Linked DNA regions of Arabidopsis thaliana. The protein of the gene in region 3 interacts with the protein of the main gene of each other region in a pairwise test. Each region holds a gene or a part of one and is shown on either strand. Other genes may lie near its edges.

Evidence for each region.
Region 1: the proteins of ARA6 (region 3) and PGLCT interact in a protein complementation assay, tested with the Arabidopsis thaliana proteins (one large-scale study listed by BioGRID).
Region 2: the proteins of ARA6 (region 3) and AT2G20780 interact in a protein complementation assay, tested with the Arabidopsis thaliana proteins (one large-scale study listed by BioGRID).
Region 4: the proteins of ARA6 (region 3) and AT1G19450 interact in a protein complementation assay, tested with the Arabidopsis thaliana proteins (one large-scale study listed by BioGRID).

The regions. Positions count from the first base shown.
Region 1 is NC_003076.8:5,270,793-5,276,363, reverse strand, and holds PGLCT (plastidic GLC translocator), read right to left. Parts: upstream 3,889-5,571; 5' UTR 3,711-3,888; exon of another isoform or gene 3,470-3,710; 5' UTR 3,461-3,469; coding exon 3,205-3,460; intron 3,062-3,204; coding exon 2,947-3,061; intron 2,875-2,946; coding exon 2,807-2,874; intron 2,695-2,806; coding exon 2,562-2,694; intron 2,479-2,561; coding exon 2,379-2,478; intron 2,279-2,378; coding exon 2,166-2,278; intron 2,085-2,165; coding exon 1,991-2,084; intron 1,917-1,990; coding exon 1,763-1,916; intron 1,645-1,762; coding exon 1,498-1,644; intron 1,423-1,497; coding exon 1,349-1,422; intron 1,245-1,348; coding exon 1,156-1,244; intron 1,073-1,155; coding exon 958-1,072; intron 869-957; coding exon 686-868; 3' UTR 552-685; downstream 1-551. Other genes in the region: AT5G16160 (uncharacterized protein), read left to right, coding at 128-191, 272-425, 509-551; AT5G16140 (Peptidyl-tRNA hydrolase family protein), read left to right, coding at 4,847-5,038, 5,118-5,202, 5,286-5,353, 5,443-5,493, 5,569-5,571. UniProt on the Arabidopsis thaliana protein: May be involved in the efflux of glucose towards the cytosol.
Region 2 is NC_003071.7:8,946,718-8,951,209, reverse strand, and holds AT2G20780 (Major facilitator superfamily protein), read left to right. Parts: upstream 1-1,780; 5' UTR 1,781-2,039; coding exon 2,040-2,253; coding exon of another isoform or gene 2,254-2,316; intron 2,317-2,347; coding exon 2,348-3,714; 3' UTR 3,715-3,968; downstream 3,969-4,492. Other genes in the region: AT2G20790 (clathrin adaptor complexes medium subunit family protein), read left to right, coding at 1-609, 684-740, 824-871, 983-1,048; AT2G20784 (uncharacterized protein), read right to left, coding at 1,434-1,589; GCL2 (GCR2-like 2), read right to left, coding at 4,169-4,492. UniProt on the Arabidopsis thaliana protein: Plasma membrane sugar-proton symporter.
Region 3 is NC_003074.8:20,316,483-20,321,649, forward strand, and holds ARA6 (Ras-related small GTP-binding family protein), read left to right. Parts: upstream 1-1,929; 5' UTR 1,930-2,114; coding exon 2,115-2,139; intron 2,140-2,373; coding exon 2,374-2,453; intron 2,454-2,473; exon of another isoform or gene 2,474-2,678; coding exon of another isoform or gene 2,679-2,681; intron 2,682-2,891; coding exon 2,892-2,975; intron 2,976-3,117; coding exon 3,118-3,212; intron 3,213-3,308; coding exon 3,309-3,414; intron 3,415-3,727; coding exon 3,728-3,817; intron 3,818-3,921; coding exon 3,922-4,008; intron 4,009-4,240; coding exon of another isoform or gene 4,241-4,255; exon of another isoform or gene 4,256-4,258; coding exon 4,259-4,300; 3' UTR 4,301-4,624; downstream 4,625-5,167. Other genes in the region: PUB14 (plant U-box 14), read left to right, coding at 5,042-5,167.
Region 4 is NC_003070.9:6,730,886-6,736,698, forward strand, and holds AT1G19450 (Major facilitator superfamily protein), read right to left. Parts: upstream 4,140-5,813; 5' UTR 3,749-4,139; coding exon 3,551-3,748; intron 3,429-3,550; coding exon 3,366-3,428; intron 3,255-3,365; coding exon 3,165-3,254; intron 3,050-3,164; coding exon 2,990-3,049; intron 2,902-2,989; coding exon 2,836-2,901; intron 2,747-2,835; coding exon 2,681-2,746; intron 2,586-2,680; coding exon 2,510-2,585; intron 2,402-2,509; coding exon 2,337-2,401; intron 2,252-2,336; coding exon 2,159-2,251; intron 2,083-2,158; coding exon 2,002-2,082; intron 1,920-2,001; coding exon 1,835-1,919; intron 1,737-1,834; coding exon 1,690-1,736; intron 1,625-1,689; coding exon 1,562-1,624; intron 1,468-1,561; coding exon 1,408-1,467; intron 1,318-1,407; coding exon 1,252-1,317; intron 1,156-1,251; coding exon 1,096-1,155; intron 1,014-1,095; coding exon 786-1,013; 3' UTR 526-785; downstream 1-525.

The DNA.
Region 1 (5,571 bases), on a different chromosome or scaffold from region 3:
GTATAATCATCTTGATTCGAATTTCTATCAACTGTTCAATCCAGTTTTTTTTTTTTTTCTTTCAACCGAATTACTATGTACATAGCAATTTGAATTTGAAGCCATTTTGGTTGTGTTGAGATTACAGGAGCTACACAAGAGACGTATGCAAATAAAAGCTAATGCAAAGATTCATAAGAAGAAACCTAAAGGTATATATATATTTAGCTCTCTTTTTTTGAGAATTCTCAGTTCATATTCACTAGACTAAAAGCTCTACACTGAAATGCAGCGAGCAAGAATTCTCAGAGTAAAGCGATCGAAGATGGCGAAAGCTCTAAAAAGTTGAAAGAACCAACTTCTTCTTCTTCTTCTACCTTAGAAGAACAGAATCATAACAAGACAGTAGTCACAGTACCGAAGAAGCCACAAAAACTGTTTTGGGGGTGAGCTTATTTCGCTAATTTTAGAATTCTTTTTCATATTGAGAAAACCGTGCTAATGCCATGCTTTTTTTGTTTTGAAACAGGCTAGATACCAGGGAGAGGTGGGAAAGGAAAGCCAACATGTAGTGGTCATGAAAAGATTTCTCGTTATTGATAACGTCGTCCATTGTACAATTTAAGAGTAGCAGATTAGAGAAAGACTCACAAACTAAATGATGAAACAAACTGGTTTTTGTTCTGCTGATTTCTTTTGTTTAATTTCAAGCTCCAGATGTAAGAGCAAGCTCTATTTCCTCCAGTGATCGACCTTTAGTCTCGACGACGTTTCCTGCAATGTAGAGGACCGCAAGGACGCAGACTCCAGCAAAACCCAAGTAGACACTGCTGATTCCGAATTTAGTCACAACGCTTAAGAAGTATAGTCCGATCACAAAGTTTGATATCTGTTAGGGCAAAAGAGAAACAAAACATTAGAAACAGAGAGAAGAAACTCTGTTCTGAACCCATAAAACCTATAGATATATGTATATACCCAGTGCATGCCGAGAGAAAGAGCGACGGCTTTTGCTCTGATTCGGGATGCAAATATCTCTGGAAGAAGAAGAGCCGGTACCGGGCCAGCACCAAGTGAGAATGACAGGACATATCTGATTTAAACAACCGAGCATAAGAGTCAGTCAAGTCCTATACAGAGAGACTATAAGGAAGTGTTAAGAGGAGATTGACTTACAGAACAGTTCCAACAACGGCAAGGGTTCCAGAATAGGCAGCAAGAGCCTTCCATGTGAAGGACAAGGAGAGTAACAGCATTGACAAAGCCTTTTCAATACAAAACCATAAAATCCAAGTTAGTCCTGTTGTGGTAATACTAATGAGGGTTGAGATTTTCGAATATGGCTAAGAATTTTAATAAAAACATGTACCATTCCACCAAAGCTTGTCAGTAAAAGACTTTTCCTTCCCATTTTATCCATCAACGATGAAGCAACAGCAGTGCCTGCGACCAGATTTTTATCGTGTTATTTTTTTGGTTATTTTTGGAATTTAATGAGAACATAACGGGGAAACGAACCAAAGACATTTGATGCTCCAACGAGAGCACTGGCTGCAACATCTGATTGGATTCCCGCACTACGGAATACCGATGTGGAGTAATACACAACTGCGTTTATCCCGGCTAACTGTTGAAACAAGAAGAGAGCCGCACCTACGCTTACAACTACAACAAGAACAGACAAGAAACTATGTAAATTGATCAATCCGATATGACCTTTGAAAGGAATCCGTCAGCTTTTATTACAAACTAAACAATGTATCTCCACCAAGTCTTGCTATACCTTTCCAGTAGCGGCTGCTGAATAGATCAAACCATCCTGCCTCCGGCTCAGAAGAACCTTGGCCAGAGGCTGATAAGTCGCGAACTAGTTCAACCACTCTTTCTTTACCATACAAAGTTTTGATCGCCTTTTCAGCTTCAGAGACTTTTCCTTGCTGCAAAATTGATTTCCTTGACTTGTCAAAAATTGATCTCATTTTAAGTGTTGAGATCTGTTCCTTGAGAGTACCTGAACGAGCCACCTTGGGCTTTCTGGAGAAAAAGCCATTCCTATGGCCAATAGAACGGAAGGGATAACTGCAACACCAAACATCGTCCTCCACCTAGAAGACCACGATATCAAAACTTATCACAGTATGCAACCCAAAATAAAAGATGATGAATAAAAAAGGGATGTTACATACCATAGAGGGTTTGCTGCAAGGGGTAATCCAGCTATCAAGGCTGCAAGTATTCCTATACAGATGAACAACTGGTTCACAGATCCGAGTGCTCCACGGATTTCAGTTGGTGATATCTGACAACCATCATCAAACGCTTCAGAGACATAACATATAAACAAATCTAACATCTTATGCTAAAAGTGCAAAAATAATGAAAATCAGTATTTAAACAACCTCAGATATGTAAAGTGGTACAATCGCTGATGAGATTCCAATTCCAATTCCAGCGAGCAGACGTCCCACAATCATAGTCTGCACACTCTGAGCTGTTGCACTAATCAATAAAAAAAGAACCAATGCGTTAAGAAATCAATTAACGTCTCACCAATAGGTATGGCTTAGTGCTTGAAAATTTACCATAAGAAAGCTCCAATGGCAAGCGGGATAGCATCCAATTGAAAAGTTCTTGTTCGTCCAAATTTGTCAGCTAATGCACCTCCAGTGAATGAACCTACCGTAGCACCAGCAAGCAGAGAACTAACAATCCATCCTGCTCAACACCAATCATAGAGAATACCAATTATGAGTTTGGCTACTAATCAAAACACGAATCATTTTACCGTTGACAGGAGGAGTAAAGAAGTGGATCATCATATACTTGCCTTGCAAAACAGTATTTTCGGCGATCCCAAGATCCTTAGCAAGATATTCAAGAGCACCATTAACCACCCTGATTCAGTCCAATAGAACATCATCATCCATGATCACACCAAGATAAAAACAGTGTAGTATTTAGTCATACCCGAGATGATAACCAAAGAGTATAGCACCAAGACAAGCAACACCAACAAAAGGCAAAACTGTTCCAGAGCTTTTCCCTTCAGATCTCAGAGGTATAGCTTCTTCTTCATCTCCATCTACATTTCATTCCTCAAACCATCAGATGATTAGTCCAAATCCCAAACTATACATTAGATTCTTCAAATTGTATTTAAGAACTTGTAAGCAATCACAGAATCTAATGATAGACAAAGATAGAAGAGCATTAGAAGAGACGAACCAGATGAGGCTTGAGCTCTGACCGATCGAGCTTTGACAGAAGAGAAACTCATAACGCTCTGGATCCCGTTATCAGCACGAGCAAGCGTCGCTCCCATGGCTTCAGAACCAGAACAGTAGAGTGGCCCGGTGGTGGCTAAGCTCTTATAACCAGCGAAGCGAATTCCGGTAGAAGTCGTCGATCTGTCAGAAGAGAAGGTCCGTCTCTGAAACGCAAACGCAGCGTTTCCTTTAACCGCATACGTTGACGACTGCATTTTGTCTGACTTTTTATAACCGTAATTGCAAGGAAACGAGAAATATTAGGCAAGGAAGGAAAAAAAAGGATCGCATTTATACCAAACAGAACTCAAAAAGAGAGAAGTAAGGAACGATGAAGACGCAACATCACGAAATTGGGAAATATGTTGCATTGATGCGAACGAGAGAGTAAAAACGCTCTTCTCGATCGCGGCTGATTAACAAAAATCGTGATATCCAAAGCAAAACTTCAGATTTGAAAATTACCAGAGAAACTTCGGAGACTCCGCGATTTGAGAGAGAGGATAGTGAGGGCTTAAACCAGATAGATTGTGATTGCTGAGAAGAACTCACTGTGGAGCTTATTGTCGTTTAAAAAAAAAAATTAAAACGCACCAAAAAATAAATAATGCAATTTTGTTTCCTTATTAGTTTTGGATTTTTGTGTAATAATTCATATTTATCCAAAACCATACGGAAAATAGAGTATTTTCATTTCTTATTTTAAAGAAATCATGAAATTTAATGCATGTGATGCAACTTTCAATTTTGGATTGGTAATTTTGTAATATTTGCTAGGAAATTTGAATAAATCAACCAGTATCAACTAAATCGAACTAAGTGGCGGGACTAATTAGGAAATTTTTTTGAGTTTATAAATTGAGAAAATTATTTACAATTATTATTCGACATAAATTAGTCGATAAAAGGGTAAGAAAAAAAGAAGTAAAAGAGTTACGTAAGAGCCGCAGGATTGGCGATTTGGCAACGTTGGATTTTCTGGATTAGATTTTGGATGACGTATATAGCCGCACGTGTTATTCAATAGTACTCACGTGCCGCCATTGAGCATAGTAACGGTGACGTATAAAAATCATAGTAACTTGGGCCACTATTATTTAACCCATCATTTTTGTGGGCTAATATTAGTAAGCCCATTAATACAAAACGGGACCAATTTCTAACATCTTCGTCTCAGTATTTCATCGTTCTACTTCTATCTCGTTCCAACGTCTTCGCAAAAGAAAATTCCGAAATTGTTTCGAAAAATCCTGAAGAAGAAGAGGTAAGCTATTTTCCTTCTCACTTATCCTTCTTCTACTGAAAATTTATAACATAATATAAACCACAAATACATTTTTGTGTAATCCTTGTAGCTCATTGCTAATCTCTGATTCTCCAGAAATTTTGCTGAGTCCTCTGTTCGATTACACTTCAATTATTTTTTATCTGCGCTGTATCTCTGTTAATGGGTTTCATTAAGTTTTGATTCTCAGTTGTTATATGATTTCGAATTTCATTATATCCTGAAAAGCTTTTATCTTTATGTATATTCCAAGTATTGAATCTCAAAGTTTCTAGTCATTTCAATTTCAATAGGTCTTTGAATCAACAACAGTTCCATGTTGTGCCCAACGTATACACCAAGTGTTTACCATTTTCAAACGCAAAAGCCAGTTTTCCGGAAACAGAGGTTTCGGGTTTGTTCATCTACTTCTGGTGGTGAGGATGATAGATTCAAAGTAGAGTACACTCCTTGGCTTATCGTTGGGTTGGGCAATCCAGGAAACAAGTATCATGGAACAAGACACAATGTAATGATACACAATCTTTTTCTTTTACTTAATTGCTGGATTTGATCTTGGCAATGCTACAACTTTGTGTTGTTTTCAGGTTGGTTTCGAGATGATCGATGTGTTGGCTAGAAAAGAAGGGGTGTTGATGAACACTATACAGTCCAAAGCTCTAATCGGAATAGGTTCTACTTCTCTTGCTTTGGTTCTTTGGTTTGAAGAATAATAAAACTGATGACTTTTTGGTTCTATGTATGAATCAGTACAGGTGCTATTGAAGATGTACCTATCTTGTTGGCTAAACCTCAGACTTATATGAACTTCAGCGGCGAATCGGTTTGTATTTTCTGTTCATAACTTTGCAAAGATCAGCTGCGTGATCAAATAATCATCATACCTGAAACTGTTCTGTTGTCGTTTTAAAGGTTGGATCTCTAGCTTCACACTATCGAGTACCATTGCGCCACATTTTAATGGTAAAGTCACTGACTTAAGCATCCCTTGAATCCAGAACTATGTTCCATATGAACACTTTTGTTTCTCTCTACTAGATT
Region 2 (4,492 bases), on a different chromosome or scaffold from region 3:
CCTCTAGCAGGGCTGAGTACAGCCCATATCGAAGCTATATCTTTCCATCCATGTGCCCAAGTTCCAGCACATGGGATTGACAAGCAGAACATTGTTTTCCAGCCTCCCTTGGGTAACTTTGTTCTCATGCGATACCAGGCAGGTTGTGGACTCGGACCACCAGTGAAAGGGTTCTATCAGCTATCAATGGTTTCAGAAGACGAGGGTGCATTCCTCTTCAAGGTGCACCTCATGGAAGGTTACAAGGCTCCTCTGTCAATGGAATTTTGCACTATTACTATGCCCTTTCCACGGAGACGGATAGTGGCATTTGATGGGACTCCGTCAGCTGGGACTGTTTTAACCACAGAACACTCTGTTGAGTGGAGGATTCTGGGCAGCGGACGTAGTCTTTCTGGGAAAAGCCTTGAGGCAACTTTCCCTGGGACAATCAAGTTTAGTCCATTGCAGAGCAGAAGAAAAGGGGATGGGGATGATGAAGAGAGTGAGGATGAGAGCGCTGAGAATGTGGTGAACGTGGAGGACTTCTTGGTGCAGAAAATGAACAAGGATCTCCCAGCAGCTGAGTTGGAGGAACCGTTCTGCTGGCAAGCCTATGACTATGCCAAGGTATGTATGTCTTTGGCTTCCTTTTGAAATCTTTTGGACTTGGTTGTTGTTCAAATCTATCTTCTGGTTTACAGGTCTCGTTCAAGATTGTCGGGGCATCTGTATCTCGAATGTCAATCGACACAAAATCAGTAAGCTTTCGCAACTTGCAATGATTAGTTAACAGTGTTAGCCCATATTATCGACTTATTATGGCCTCCTTTTGTTTTACTAGGTCAATATCTACCCAACCACAAAGTCACCGGTTGAGTTTTCTGCTCAGGTAAGACACTGCCAACAATATATAGTGTATAAATATTGAAGTGCACAGGAAACGTTTGAACCGGATTGGATAAAACTCTAAAGGCGCTCTACATGATATGTGCGTAAACAGGTGACTTCAGGGGATTATATATTGTGGAACACATTGGGGAAAGCTCCATCAGCAGCCGTCGTGTGATTTCCCCAAGTCGCAGCCTCACTGGTATTGTATTTTCCCATCCCAAGGAAGTGATTTATTTGTTTGAGTTTGAAAGCATTAAACGTATGAATGAGCAGTTTGATTTTTACAGCGGAAGTGTATCTGTACATTATTGTTGTTTCTTGAGAGATAAAGAAAGATGAATGTTGTTTTAGTTGCAAATCTGTCTGGAATGGAACATGTGATAATAAAACTCGTAAGGTGGTTGTGTTCATGAAGTTGCCACTGTTTCATAATTAGTCTACAAGCCTAAGAAAGAAATTGCTCTATATAGAGAATGCTATCTAGATATAGTATATATCCAGCTCATAAAGGAGATTATAATCCAAGGTTTGCAGCAATATGAGGTCTGTATTTTATGAAATTACAAAATTAGAAGAAAAATATCAATCAATTTAAAGATTGTTGTTGCCACGTCAATGACACTGTCTCTGTAGTTCCAATGAGCTTGGAATAACCACCGACAGATCTCATTCATAGGGAGCAAGCTGCCATTGGAGGTTAATTCCATTTTTTTCATAATAAAGGTTAACTGTCCAAACTCGAAACCCTGATTTATTTAGTTTTCAATAAATGTTTTCATGCCTTTTAAGAGTGTGTGCTAAGCTAACAGATGAGCTGTTATTACCTTGAAAACTCTAATCTATCTTAATTTAATAAGTTCTTAAATATCTTTCCAACTTTTTTTACGCTTTAAGAAAAGAAAAAAAATCCTATTTCTTGAAACGTAATGTTAATGGAAGGAGTCAAGTTGTCTTTTGAAAATTGGATTACCTCATTAGAAAATTCCACCAATTTGGTCAAATAGAGACGATGAGATTTCTAAGAAGTCTCTCCGGTTCAGATCTGGTCATCTAAAGCCCTTCTTCCGAGATCTACGACTTTCTTCCTCAAGTCGTTGTCTGAATTCTCTTTTTTTCCGAAAACAGACACCACCTGAGTCTGCTGTCTGAAGCCTCGGCGGAGGGAGATGATGAAGAATCTTCCGGAGGTTGGTAATGGCGGTGGCTCGGGTTTTCCGGCGGTCTCTGTCGGAAATAAGAAGAATAAGTATCAGAGAATGGACTCCGACGCGGAGGAATCGCAGAATCATCGTGAAGCAGAGGCTAGAAACAGTAGAACCAGAAAATACGTTATGGCTTGTGCCTTTTTTGCATCCTTGAACAATGTTCTTCTCGGCTACGGTCGGTTTTACTTATATAATCGGATTCTTCTTCTTCTTCTTTACTTTGTTGACTTACAAAAAGGTATGTGTGCTCTGTTTTTGGTATTTGTCAGATGTTGGGGTAATGAGCGGTGCGGTGTTGTTCATACAGCAGGATCTCAAAATAACGGAGGTGCAGACGGAAGTGCTCATTGGTAGCCTTAGCATCATCTCACTCTTTGGCAGCTTAGCCGGCGGCAGAACCTCTGACTCTATCGGTAGAAAATGGACCATGGCCTTGGCTGCTCTCGTCTTCCAGACTGGTGCTGCCGTGATGGCTGTCGCTCCGTCTTTCGAGGTTTTGATGATAGGGAGAACTTTAGCCGGCATTGGGATTGGGCTTGGTGTCATGATCGCTCCTGTCTACATCGCCGAGATATCCCCCACCGTAGCTAGAGGATTTTTCACTTCGTTCCCTGAGATCTTCATAAATCTAGGGATCTTGCTGGGCTATGTTTCGAACTACGCTTTCTCGGGGCTTTCCGTGCATATCAGCTGGAGGATCATGCTTGCAGTTGGGATTCTTCCTTCGGTGTTCATAGGATTTGCGCTGTGTGTGATCCCTGAGTCGCCGAGGTGGCTGGTGATGAAAGGCCGAGTGGACAGTGCACGAGAGGTGCTCATGAAAACGAATGAGCGAGATGACGAAGCGGAAGAGCGGCTTGCAGAGATACAACTGGCGGCTGCACATACAGAAGGCAGCGAGGACAGGCCCGTGTGGCGTGAGCTTCTTAGCCCATCTCCTGTTGTACGGAAAATGCTGATTGTTGGATTTGGAATCCAGTGTTTCCAGCAGATCACAGGAATTGACGCCACAGTCTACTATAGTCCAGAGATCCTGAAAGAGGCTGGGATACAAGACGAGACCAAACTGCTCGCTGCAACTGTCGCTGTTGGTGTCACGAAAACAGTGTTCATACTATTTGCCACCTTCCTGATTGATAGTGTTGGCCGGAAACCGCTGCTTTATGTGAGCACAATAGGAATGACTCTGTGTCTCTTTTGTCTAAGCTTTACGCTCACATTCCTCGGCCAAGGAACGCTTGGGATAACCTTGGCGCTTCTCTTTGTTTGTGGAAACGTTGCCTTCTTCTCCATAGGAATGGGACCTGTTTGCTGGGTCTTGACATCAGAGATCTTTCCATTACGATTAAGAGCCCAGGCATCTGCGCTTGGGGCGGTTGGGAACAGGGTGTGCAGCGGTCTGGTGGCCATGTCCTTCCTCTCTGTGTCACGTGCCATCACTGTTGGAGGAACCTTCTTCGTTTTCTCCCTCGTGTCTGCACTCTCAGTTATCTTCGTGTATGTGCTAGTCCCCGAGACAAGCGGGAAGTCACTGGAGCAGATAGAGTTGATGTTTCAGGGTGGGCTGGAAAGAAAAGACGGTGAAGTTGAGCTTGGAGATGCTGAGCGTCTTGTGCGCAAGGAACAGGAGTTTTGAATTGATCATGTTAAAGTAGAAGAGGCAGAAGTGAAAAGATACTCTTATGGTGTTCTGTTCTTGCATTAGATCCAAAGAACGTAAGATAGATTTTGTAAGTGCGTTTGATGATGGTATAGACCCAGTGCATATTCCAAAGAAACCAACTGCTCTGTTTTTTTGTTCCTTGTTTCAAGAAGAAACCATGTGATACTCAACTCAAAAGACAATATATACAGAAATGACAGAACCTTTGTGTTCACTTCATGTTTCACACTCTCCTTCTAACACTCATAAAGTTACAGGCTCTCCGGACAGTTCGGCTATATATCAACTCAAACTTATTCACCATCAAACAACAAGAAGATTTTGCTAGTACTAAACACACATACACTCACACCCTCTCTTACCTTGTGCATCCTCCATAACAAGAGAGAAGGATTTGATGGACGGAGATTGTTATCGATCAAGAAGTTTAAAGCTCGTAACCTGGGAACCTGGCTTCAGATGGGTCGACCATGTCAAGGAAGAGATAGGCCATGCCTGCAACGCCTTCAAACAAGGAATAAGGACTATCACCTCCATGCATTTCTCCTTTTGAGAGTAACTTGGGGCCTCTATCAAGCAGGAAACTGGCAAAGGCTTTTGCACGGTATAGATACTCACTCCTTCCCGTAGCTCTGTAAAGCGCAAGAAAAACATATGCGTTCCCACTTATTCCATGACAGATCCCCACGCGCTTGAGCAATCCACGGTTCCAAACCACCTCTGCTGCAGCTGCACTCGCTTCCAGAAACTC
Region 3 (5,167 bases):
GTTTACCTGTTAATAGAAGATAAGAAGCTTGACACATGCAAAAACAAACACCGATCACTAAATTTTTATTATTACTCATCATGAAGTACTTCTTTGTATTATAGTGTCGTTAGTATAAACCTGAGGAATGTAAGACTTAACGGATTCCGGTTGTACGTAGACTGAATCGTTACTATGAAAATTTGTCATTAGTAAAATTTGATTTTAAGGTCATGCACTTTCAATCATTTGGATGCAAATTTGAAATAGATTTTCTTATAGATTTTTTCTCGAGCAAAATATCTCAAAAGCACTACGATCAAAAGCTTGTCAGCGAGACATTGGGACACGTTGGCACATAGCAGGACAACTCACTCATCTAACCGGTAAACGGACCAACATCAGACATGAGATTACAATCGTTGACGTGTCATTATTATCCACATGGTCTTCTCTTATTGGTATACATTGTTAGATCTCAGATTATGCAGTTGTAGCGCCAGAGAGAAGATCTAATTGCATGAGGGTTAACTTAACACGTGTCGACTGTTGCTTCGTTCAACTTTAGATCAGCATTTAGGATCCAAGTAGGTGTACAATTAGATTCTCCCAGGCCAAGATTCTTCTTCCCATCTGTAGTTCTATTATCCACGTCGGATTATTTTTAATTTTACTCTATTACTATTAATTATATACGTATCCAATTCCAAGTGTATTAGATTAAGCTAAAGTATTTATCCCTCACACAGACAAATTTTATTGTTCTGTTAGCAAGTAATATTGCACTAAACCATCTCTAAGCTAATTTCAGGTCTTCATTTGTTAATGTAATATTTTTGTTGTCAACTTTAAATGTAAATAGTTTTCTTATTTTCTTATGTCATATCTTTCCTATTTCATCTAAAAAAGAATATGTTGAAATAAATTGAATAGTGGAATTATGACTTGGAAAATCAAAATTTGGAGAAGGTTTGGCGTAATGAGAAGCACGAGCATGATCGAAAAAGTGTTCTATGTGAGTTGTTCTATTTCAAAGCTCACCACGCAAGGATACACATACGTAACTTGGTCAATACAATGATCACAAGCAAACACACCCACTCATATATAAATAGAGCATATATTCCTCACAAGAATACAAGATATTATAGAGCAAAGATTGATAGCTAACTTCAGTAAATGTCGAGCTACATTTCCTTCTTCATGTTACTCTTTTTGTTCCTTATTTCTCCTCGAACAAACGTTGTCTGTGCATCAAGACCTTTATTGGAATCCAATAATCCGGGTCACATGAGCACGAATACAATTTACATAAAAGGTAGCGAACAAGGCGCATTTCGCGGTGGAGCGATGAACGATTGTCTTCCAAAGGGGTTTCACTTCAACTCAGCTCCTAGCCGCTACATTAACAATCTTCCTTTAGATTCAACTCTTTGTTCTACAACAGAGAAAGCTATTCCTAATCCATAAAAGTAATAATCCCCTAAAATATTACCCGCTAAATTAAGTATGTGCAAAGATTGATAGCTAAATCACCTATTTGTTTTTTTTTTGCTCTATGCTTGGGTTATTTCTTGAATAAAACCCATGTATGTATTCTTTAATTAATTGTGTTTGTATACTTGTGTATAATATTTAAGCAATTTTATTATAGATGAAAAAAGTAATTTTATATAAAAATGTTGTTTAGTAAATTAATCAACACAAATCAGTTTTTGCTAAATATGAGAATTTTTCTCTTCACCACGGTTAAAACTTAAAACTAAAACTGTATTTATTGAGATAATATATGTTAATAATATATGTTCATACTTCATAGCTTTGTGGAAATTGAGAATAACCATATGTAAAATATTTTGAGAAATGGTTAAAGGGTTCATAAAATAAGAGACAACACTTATGAGAAAAAAAAAAGAGCCTTTAAAATAAAACTTTGGTAAAGTCAAAGGAAAAGGACGATAAAAATCATCAAATCGATAAGTTTTTATTTTTATTTGACGATCTTGCTTCTTCTTCTTCTTCTTCTTCTTCTTCTTCTTCAACTCGTTACCATCAACGCTCAAATCCTGTATACAATCTCTTCTCAGCTGTAATTTCTATAATCTCGTCAATTATCATCTATTCAGGGGTAAGCTATGGGATGTGCTTCTTCTCTTCCAGGCAAGTTTTGTTTTCTCTCTCAATTTTGTTGAATTTGTTGTCGTTGTTCGAATAAAACTGAGGATTTATAGAGACCCTCGAGCAATTTCACCACCCATTTTCCGAAGGTGTAATCATCGGGGTTGAATTAGAAGCTTTTAAAAATTGGGGATTTTGATGATTGGTTAGGGTTTTCTGGTGGAGAATTGGAGAAACCGAATTGATTGTTGGTGATTTGTGTGTTTTGTGAAGCAGATAGGAACTCTGGAACTTTAAGTGGTCTTAGCAATTCAGAGAATGCTGTTCCAGCTGATGCCAAAAATCTACGTGTGAAGGTTTTTTTTTTTTAGTTTTTAGTCTCGTTTAAGAATGTTGATCTCGTTGAGATTGCTTTGTTTCTTCACTGATTCCTGCAATTTCTAATAGCTTATTAGAAAGTTCATGCTTTTGTGATCTGTGGTCTTGCATTATATATGATTGTTCACATTTTAATCCACGCATGTTGTAAGATGTGATAAGCCTAGTGAAGCGCTTTTGAAGAAACATACACTCTTTATAGAATGGTAGTAGCAAAACCTCAACTTTGTTCTTAATAATTGACGGTTTTGCTTTGCAAGCTACTTTTGAAACTCTTTTTCTATTGTTAAGGAGATGATTCCTTTTCTTTCACCTTTTATTTTCTTGTTGCTCAGCAGTATTTTGCCAAGTGTGGTATAATTGGTTTCAACTTTGCGTAAGACATACCACTAACTTTTGGATTCACTTGATTGCAGTTAGTTCTATTAGGAGACTCTGGTGTTGGTAAAAGTTGTATTGTCCTTCGATTTGTACGTGGTCAGTTTGACGCTACATCTAAGGTAAGTAAAGCCTTGTTATCTAATTGTCTTTATTGACCATCTGACACCTTTTTAGAACACCATGCTCTGATGTGAGTGAATATTAGACTATTAGAGTATACTTATCTGCCACTAGATCTCAAGACTACTAGCTATGTATCAGGTAACTGTTGGAGCCTCGTTCTTGTCCCAAACTATAGCATTGCAAGACTCTACCACAGTGAAGTTTGAAATATGGGATACAGCAGGACAGGAGAGGTATTAAACCCTTCATGCAGATTTGTATTGCTTATTTTATTAGATAAACGCTTTGCAAACTTACTAGGATTTAACCTGCATTCACTTTATTTTTAGGTATTCTGCTCTTGCACCACTATACTACCGTGGAGCTGGAGTTGCTGTTATTGTGTATGATATAACAAGCCCTGAATCGTTCAAGAAAGCACAGTATTGGGTTAAGGTATGTTTTCAGGGGGTTCAAAAGGTTCCATTTCGTTCATGTTTCTAGGATTCGTGCAATAGCTTCCGAGCTATATCTTTACCAGGACTGAAAATTAGAGTTACAGACAGTCATATAGCCAACAGCACTCCTGTCTGTGTATATAATGGGTATCATTTAGTTGGGCAACTGGTTTACTTCTCTGACATTTTTGTTCCATTAATTTGCACTCGTTGCTACCATGAAGCCATTTGGCACAACTCCGTGCAGGAAAGATATCAACATTATATTGAATCTAGTGCTATTGTTTTACCCCTGCCCATAAATCTAACAGGAACTGCAAAAGCATGGAAGCCCAGATATTGTTATGGCTCTGGTTGGTAACAAAGCTGATCTACATGAAAAAAGAGAAGTACCTACTGAGGTGAGTTTGCGTAAACGTCTTCATCTAGATTCCGTAGCGCATTTTGTTGTCACTTTCATTGTCCTTGCTTCTTCAGTGGTATCACATTTTCAATTTCTTAACAGGATGGAATGGAGCTTGCAGAGAAGAACGGCATGTTCTTCATTGAGACGTCAGCCAAGACAGCCGATAACATAAATCAACTGTTTGAGGTGTGCACTTCTTTCTTGCCTCTGATTTATGATCGATTTTCTTGTCCTCTGCATTTATTGAGATCTTATTATCCGTTTCTTTCATTGCTTTGGAATTGGAGGATGGAAAAGTGATAGGCAGTGATATGCAGCTAGATATGAGATTTAATTTCTTGTAGTTTGTGGAGGATAATAGTTTTGGATGCAGAAAGATGGATTAATACGAAGTATATGAGATTTTAACTTGTTGTAGTGTACACATGTCTGATAGGAAATTGGCAAGAGGCTACCTCGTCCTGCTCCTTCGTCATGATTGGAGTGTTGAATCATCTCATCTTCAGCCATGTCTTCAGACTACTAATCTTTCCATACTTTTTAATGTAATGTTTCAAAACAATATTTCTCTATCTGTTAAGTCAAGTGTGTTGTATAATGTGAAGATTTGAGTTTGAAACTGGGGATATTACGAACCTCAAAAGTGGAAACCCAAGTTATATCAAGCAATGGATCATCAGTACATATTTTAGTGGGATTCATCAGAAGTAGAGAAGAGTAAAGCTTCATTCAAATGATTCAATGCATGTATAGTTTGTGGGAGAGACTATTGCAGCCAATTCTAACAAAACCTAAATCAAGAAATTATTTGACAATTTCAAAGAGACTAACAAACAGGTAGAGAAATCCATTATACAAAGGATTTGACTTTTGATGATTTCAGATGCAAATACAAACTTAAAAACTTTATATATTTGTATTGGTCAACCTTAATATCATAAATTTATAGTTGAGGCAATAAATAAATATGAAAATCTAAATGCAATGTTTAAATATTAAAATTTAACGGCAAAATAAAATAGAAAAAATTATGATTGGTCTGAAAATGGACAAAATGAGACTTTTCATGTCCAAATAGGTGTTTATTGTCACGTTGATGAGAAGACTATTTCGTTCCATAGCATTTCTGTTCCTCCTCTTGGTTTTTTGGGTTTCTTCTTCCTCGTCTTGGTTTCGTTAAAACCCTTTTGAAGCCCTCTGGAACAGTAAAATCTGAGGGATGGGATTAACGAATTGTTGTTCCCACGAGGAGCTAATGAGTCGACTCGTTGACTCCGTTAAAGAAATATCAGGGTTTTCATCTTCAAGGGGTTTTATTGGGAAGATCCAAGGCGATCTTGTTCGT
Region 4 (5,813 bases), on a different chromosome or scaffold from region 3:
TGTTAAACAAAAGGTTGTTTGTTTACTATTATTGAAGTTTGCTCCAATTAAATTACAGAAACCAAAACTTTCGTTTGTCCAACTTTGCCTTTCACTGACACTCACTCGTGTTGAATGGTGTGAATATGTGAATCCGTTACTTTGAGAATATAAACAAGGAACGGTAACTACAAAAACCATTTTCATGTTCTTGTAACGTATTATTTCGTTACTATCTGTAAATTGTCTAGATATTTTCCTAGTTTATTACTTTTGGAAGAAAATGACCTTAGTATTGTTTACTTGGTTCTGATTTCTTAATGAATGGTCAAATTGGACAGTGGGACATGCCAAGAATGTTATATAAAGAATGATTTTAAAATTGTTATTATATTGTTGTTTTCTTTTTCAAATCGACCGCCGTTTGCATTGGAAATAGTCCTTTCATGTTCGCCAAACAACAAAACTCCCAAAGCAGTTTCTATCACATGGTAGCTTTCCCATTTGGATCCAAAACACTAACATTTGCATTTCTGATTTTCTATACTTAATTCAAGATATTGTTGAATACACAAATATAGTGCTATTAATCTTGAGAATCCGAAAAATTACACACAAAAACAAAAAATCAAATTTAAAGGTATAATGATATGCTTGTACAAGATAAACAAATTATAATCAATGTCAAGAAGAAATACATTGAACAAAGCATGAAATACAGACACAGGGAAGGGACAAAAGAATGATCTGTAATGGAGAAAGCAAAAAGTGAAAATTTTGTCTTCTTCTTCCTCTTCTTGTTTTGATCATCTGAACAAAGCTTGGATCTCTTCAAGCGTTTTTCCTTTAGTCTCAGGAACCCAAAGACTCACAAAAACCACAGTGAATCCACAAACCAAAGCGTAGAGAGTGAAAGTTCCCCCACTGCTCCATGCTAACAGCATATTTGCAGTCATTGTCACTAACCATGACACGAACCAGTTTAACAAAGTTGCTATACTTCCGGCTAAACCCTTTATATTCACTGGCAGAATCTGTTTTACCAACATTAATCAGTATTAAAATTTCCAGTTGTGATTTTAACACTAAGGAACACCATGTTTTAATATTTAGTACCTCAGACATAATCAGCCATGGAATTGGTCCCATTCCTAGAGAGCAAGAAATAACCATAGCCTGTAAATAACTCAGCCAGATTTAGTACACATACCGGGAAATATGTAAATAAGAAAGTATCTTTCGTTGTGTGAATGTATAAAACAAACGACTTACCACAACTCCAACTACGGAAACCATGCTTAGAATGTTGTACATGTTGGAATCAGGTGATACAAATTCCTAACAAAAGATTAAGAAACCTCAATATCTCATAATTAGAGTGACACTCTTACATTGTACAAGTAGAGATGTCAAAAGTTAAAATGTTACCTTAAGGTAAAATGCAACTGCTACAATCACGAGGCTTATCGTCATTCCGATAGAAGAGATCTGCATTTCAGAAGAAAATGCTAATATTATGTTATGCATACATAAATTCTTCAGACTTTGTAAGATATACAGATGAATCTCAAATATTCTTCACCATGAGTAGAAGCCGACGACCTGCTTTATCCACCAACCATGTCGCTATCCCAGTCGCCACTACCTGGTATAGAATGAACAACGGTTAGAAAAATCGAATCTAATGTCTCCTAGATTGAAATGATATACCTGAACAACGCCAACTCCAAATGTCGCCACATTACTTGATGTCACCCCTTAGTGAATGATAATTGCAAACAAAGAAGCATAGTTAGAAATCTGTTTATTCTATCTTAGGACCATTCCAATAATCAAAAAAAACATATGACTCTACCTGCAGATTCAAAAATTGTACTCGAATAGAACAAGACACCATTGATTCCTCCAAGTTGTTGAAGTGCAAGCAGCCCTATACCAACCTGTAACACAGATTACAGGAAAAGAGTGAGTTTCTCTCATGTGTTGACAAAATTAGTTCAAGAGAGGTAAGAGAAATTGCACCATCAGTGGGAAATAGTATCTCCTGCGCTTGAGGTCTACAAACCGAACTGCAGAACGTTTGCTAGATGATGCCACAGATCTCTGCAGAGTGCATAAAATGAAAATTTTAAATAAGACAAGAAATCACATCAAAGCATTTCTTCAGTTTAGTCACTACCTTGATTTCATTAACCTCAACGGTAATATCAGTCTCAAATCCACGAAGAACTTGCAATGAAGTTTCGAAATCATCTGTCAAACCCATCTTTGCCTACAATTACAACACCAAAACAATTTAGGATAACCAATAATGCAACAAACTCAACAATATAAGCAATACGGTTGTAGAGGCATACCAACCACCGAGGAGATTCAGGAATGAAAAAAAGACCCGGTATCAACAATGTACATGGCAATACTCCTAAACATAAAGAAGACAAACAAGAAAGTGATTAGACTGTATCGATCAAAATAAAATAAAAACAGGTATAGTTTCTCCCAAGTCAAGTCAAAATGTTTTGTGAGTTACCCAAAACTGCAAGAATTCTCCATGGAACAAAGAGACCGAGTAAATACGCCAGCATTATCCCAATTGTTACAGAAAGCTATAAACACAAAACATTTATTGTTTAGTGTTAACATATGAATCAGCTCATAAAATGAAACATAAAAATAGTGAAGCTAACTAAACATGACAAACCTGGTTAACTGAACCTAAGGCTCCTCTCATGGTCTGTGGAGCGATCTCAGCTATATATACGGGAACCTAAAATCGCAATTCAAAGGTGTGTAATTATATTGATCACTCCAAACAAACATTGCTGAAATCAAAGAAATAGTTGAATCTAATATTACCGTATAGGAGATAATCCCAACTCCGAAGCCTTCTAACAATCTTCCCATGTAAAGAAAAGAAGTATCCTAAACAAAAACCAAGAACAACAACAACTTAGTAGGTATAGAGATAAGCCAAGAATATCAGAAACTTTGAGAACACCAAAACACTCACTTTTGCAAATGATATCGAAAGCCATCCAATAATATTGGGAATTGCAGCAATCATCAGAGACTGTCAAAAGGAAAGAAAAACACAGTAAATAAGATACAACAAGAAAGAAGATGTTACATGACAAATTGTCACAGATGAGAACATGTTTTAGAATCAAGAAACAAAACTATTATACCCCTTTCCGTCCAACGTATTCAGCAATCTGACCACTCGCAATTGCTCCAACCATAGCACCCACATTGGATAGAGACCCAAACACAGAGTACTAAAACATCAAACAAGAAACCTAAAAGTCAGAAAATTACAGAACAAGAGTCTTTACAAAAAAAAAAAAAAAAAACAGAACAGTTCTTAAATAAAGATGGGACCTTCATACCTCTGATACAGTTAAACCAAGATCCTTAGTAATGGCAGCTTGAGTTGGTGAGGAATAACCACACTGAAAACAAAAAGATAAATCAAAATCAACACTTTCTTAGTCAATTTGAGCAAAAGCAGAGAAATCCACATTGATAAAAAAAAATATAAGAAAGTTGAGATATTTGTTTATGTTGTTCTTACAGTGAATCCGAATTGAATAGGACCAAGAGCAACAATCAAAACACAAGCTAAGACAGAAATTGAGCTGTCTCGAATAACTTGAGACGATTCCAACATACTAGATTGTCTCGAACCCATCCGATACCAACTTCCTGTGTGTAAGAACGGTCGCCGAAGATCATTTCTTCCCTCTTCCGTATTATCATCCCTAAAACTCATCTTTTTGTTTTTCTTAAATCTACAAAACAATCGTAATCTACAGAGAGAAAAAAGCACGAATCTTTCGGAGGATAAAAATGTCGATCCTAAACTAGAAAATGCAGAAGAAGAAAAATACGAAATTTGAGGTAGGATTTGAGTTTTGGGTGAATTCAAAAAGATGTTAGACTTGTTTTGCTTAAGAATTCTTCATGGTTTGTAAAAATTGAGCCTTTGCGTGGAGAGACGCAGACTGTTTCATAGTTTTCCACCTCAGAACGCGTCGCCTAACATCGATTTATAGAATTCGTAAAGGGACCTGTTTTTTTTCTTCTCTGTCGACAAAAAAAAACTTAATTTAAAAACATTTTAATTTGTAATTAAATAAGATATCGTTCATTTTAAATTCTTTTATATCAAATTTAACTATTGTTTTTTTTTGTCTGATTGTCGTTTTCGAGTTATTTTTTGCGCAAAGATAATTTTTTGAATCATTGTCCCATGTTCGCTCACATATACAAGCATTTGTAGTCGCTTTGAATCATTTATTTTCTTCTACATACTTCTACATACTCATTAGTATTATAATGAGCTTTTACAATGTAACTAATTACGCAACAATACTATAAAATTGTGGTACAGGCTGAGACTAAACTATATTGTATTTTTAAGAAAATGTTTTTCTTTTTGTTTAGGTAAACTGTCTACTTCAAAGATATTTTTTGGTAGGAATAATAATTAAAACTTCCCATATTAGAATACGAGGCCACTAGACATTCCTTTTGACAACAAAAAGTGACAATGTCATTTTATATTTTAGCACTTATAATAATAGTTAGCATGCATTATAGAATTCATATTTAGATGTTGTCCTAACTCTTAACAAAATCAGAATAACAATATTGTGGGAGAAAATTTAGCTAAAACTTCAATTTAGGACAAATAATAAGATTATTAAAGTAACACTTAAATATGAATATAATGCTCGAATCCTCCTCTACTTTTTAGCATTTTCGCTACCTCGTTGATATTGATGTCGATAGGTCACAAATATGCAAGTGACATTATTTTATTAGATAAACTCGAATAATTATAGTTTTTGTTTTCTAGTATATGAAAAATATATGGATGTCATTAATTTCGAATACTTCAATAAATATAAATATTTATTCAGATACAACATTATTTATTTATTTTCAATATTTAAAATCTTTGAGAATACGACATGTTATTTCAATGTTTACCAATAACATCCTACTATATTATTTAGGAAATACATTTTAAATATAACTTTATTTTTTTGTAAGTAATTACATAGGTATGTCATTAGAAATAAGATTTTAAAGAGTAAATTAATTTATTTCTTTAAAAATTAAAAGTCAAATACTAATTTAATTAATTAAATTTAACTCAAAAACGAAATACATTATTAATTTCCAAAAAAGTAACCAATTAAAATCAACAAATTAGATTTGATATCTAAATTATCATATTAATTTTTTATTAATTATTATAGTTCACCTCTCATCTTTATATGATTCTATTTTTGCAAAAAAATAATATCATCGTTATAAAAAAATAATTAGAATTTTTTCGCATATGCCACAATTTGAATTTTTAAAAACGAATATAAACTGTTCAATACATGAAAAAATACTATAACGGGTCAAAAGTAGATTTAAGAAATTTTTTTACTGAGTACTGTGTCATAGTTTGAATATTTATATTCAATTTCATACATATTATTTTAAAATTTATAATCTTATATACTACAATAATTAATAACATATTAGATTTTTTAATGTGTATGATGTGATTCAATTTTTAATACAAGCTGAAAAATCCTACAATTGACGGGTTTAAATCAATATTAATACAAGATGATATACTATATGTGAAACTTTAAAATTAACAATCAAAATACAAGTATATAATTTTAAACACTAAACAATATAAATAATATCAACAAAACATATACAACTCGCAGTTTACTATACATTTAAAATCAAATAAAATAATATCATATATTTATAATCAACTTTACAATAAAAGTTTTTAGTTTAACTAAAATATAAGACTACCTGCT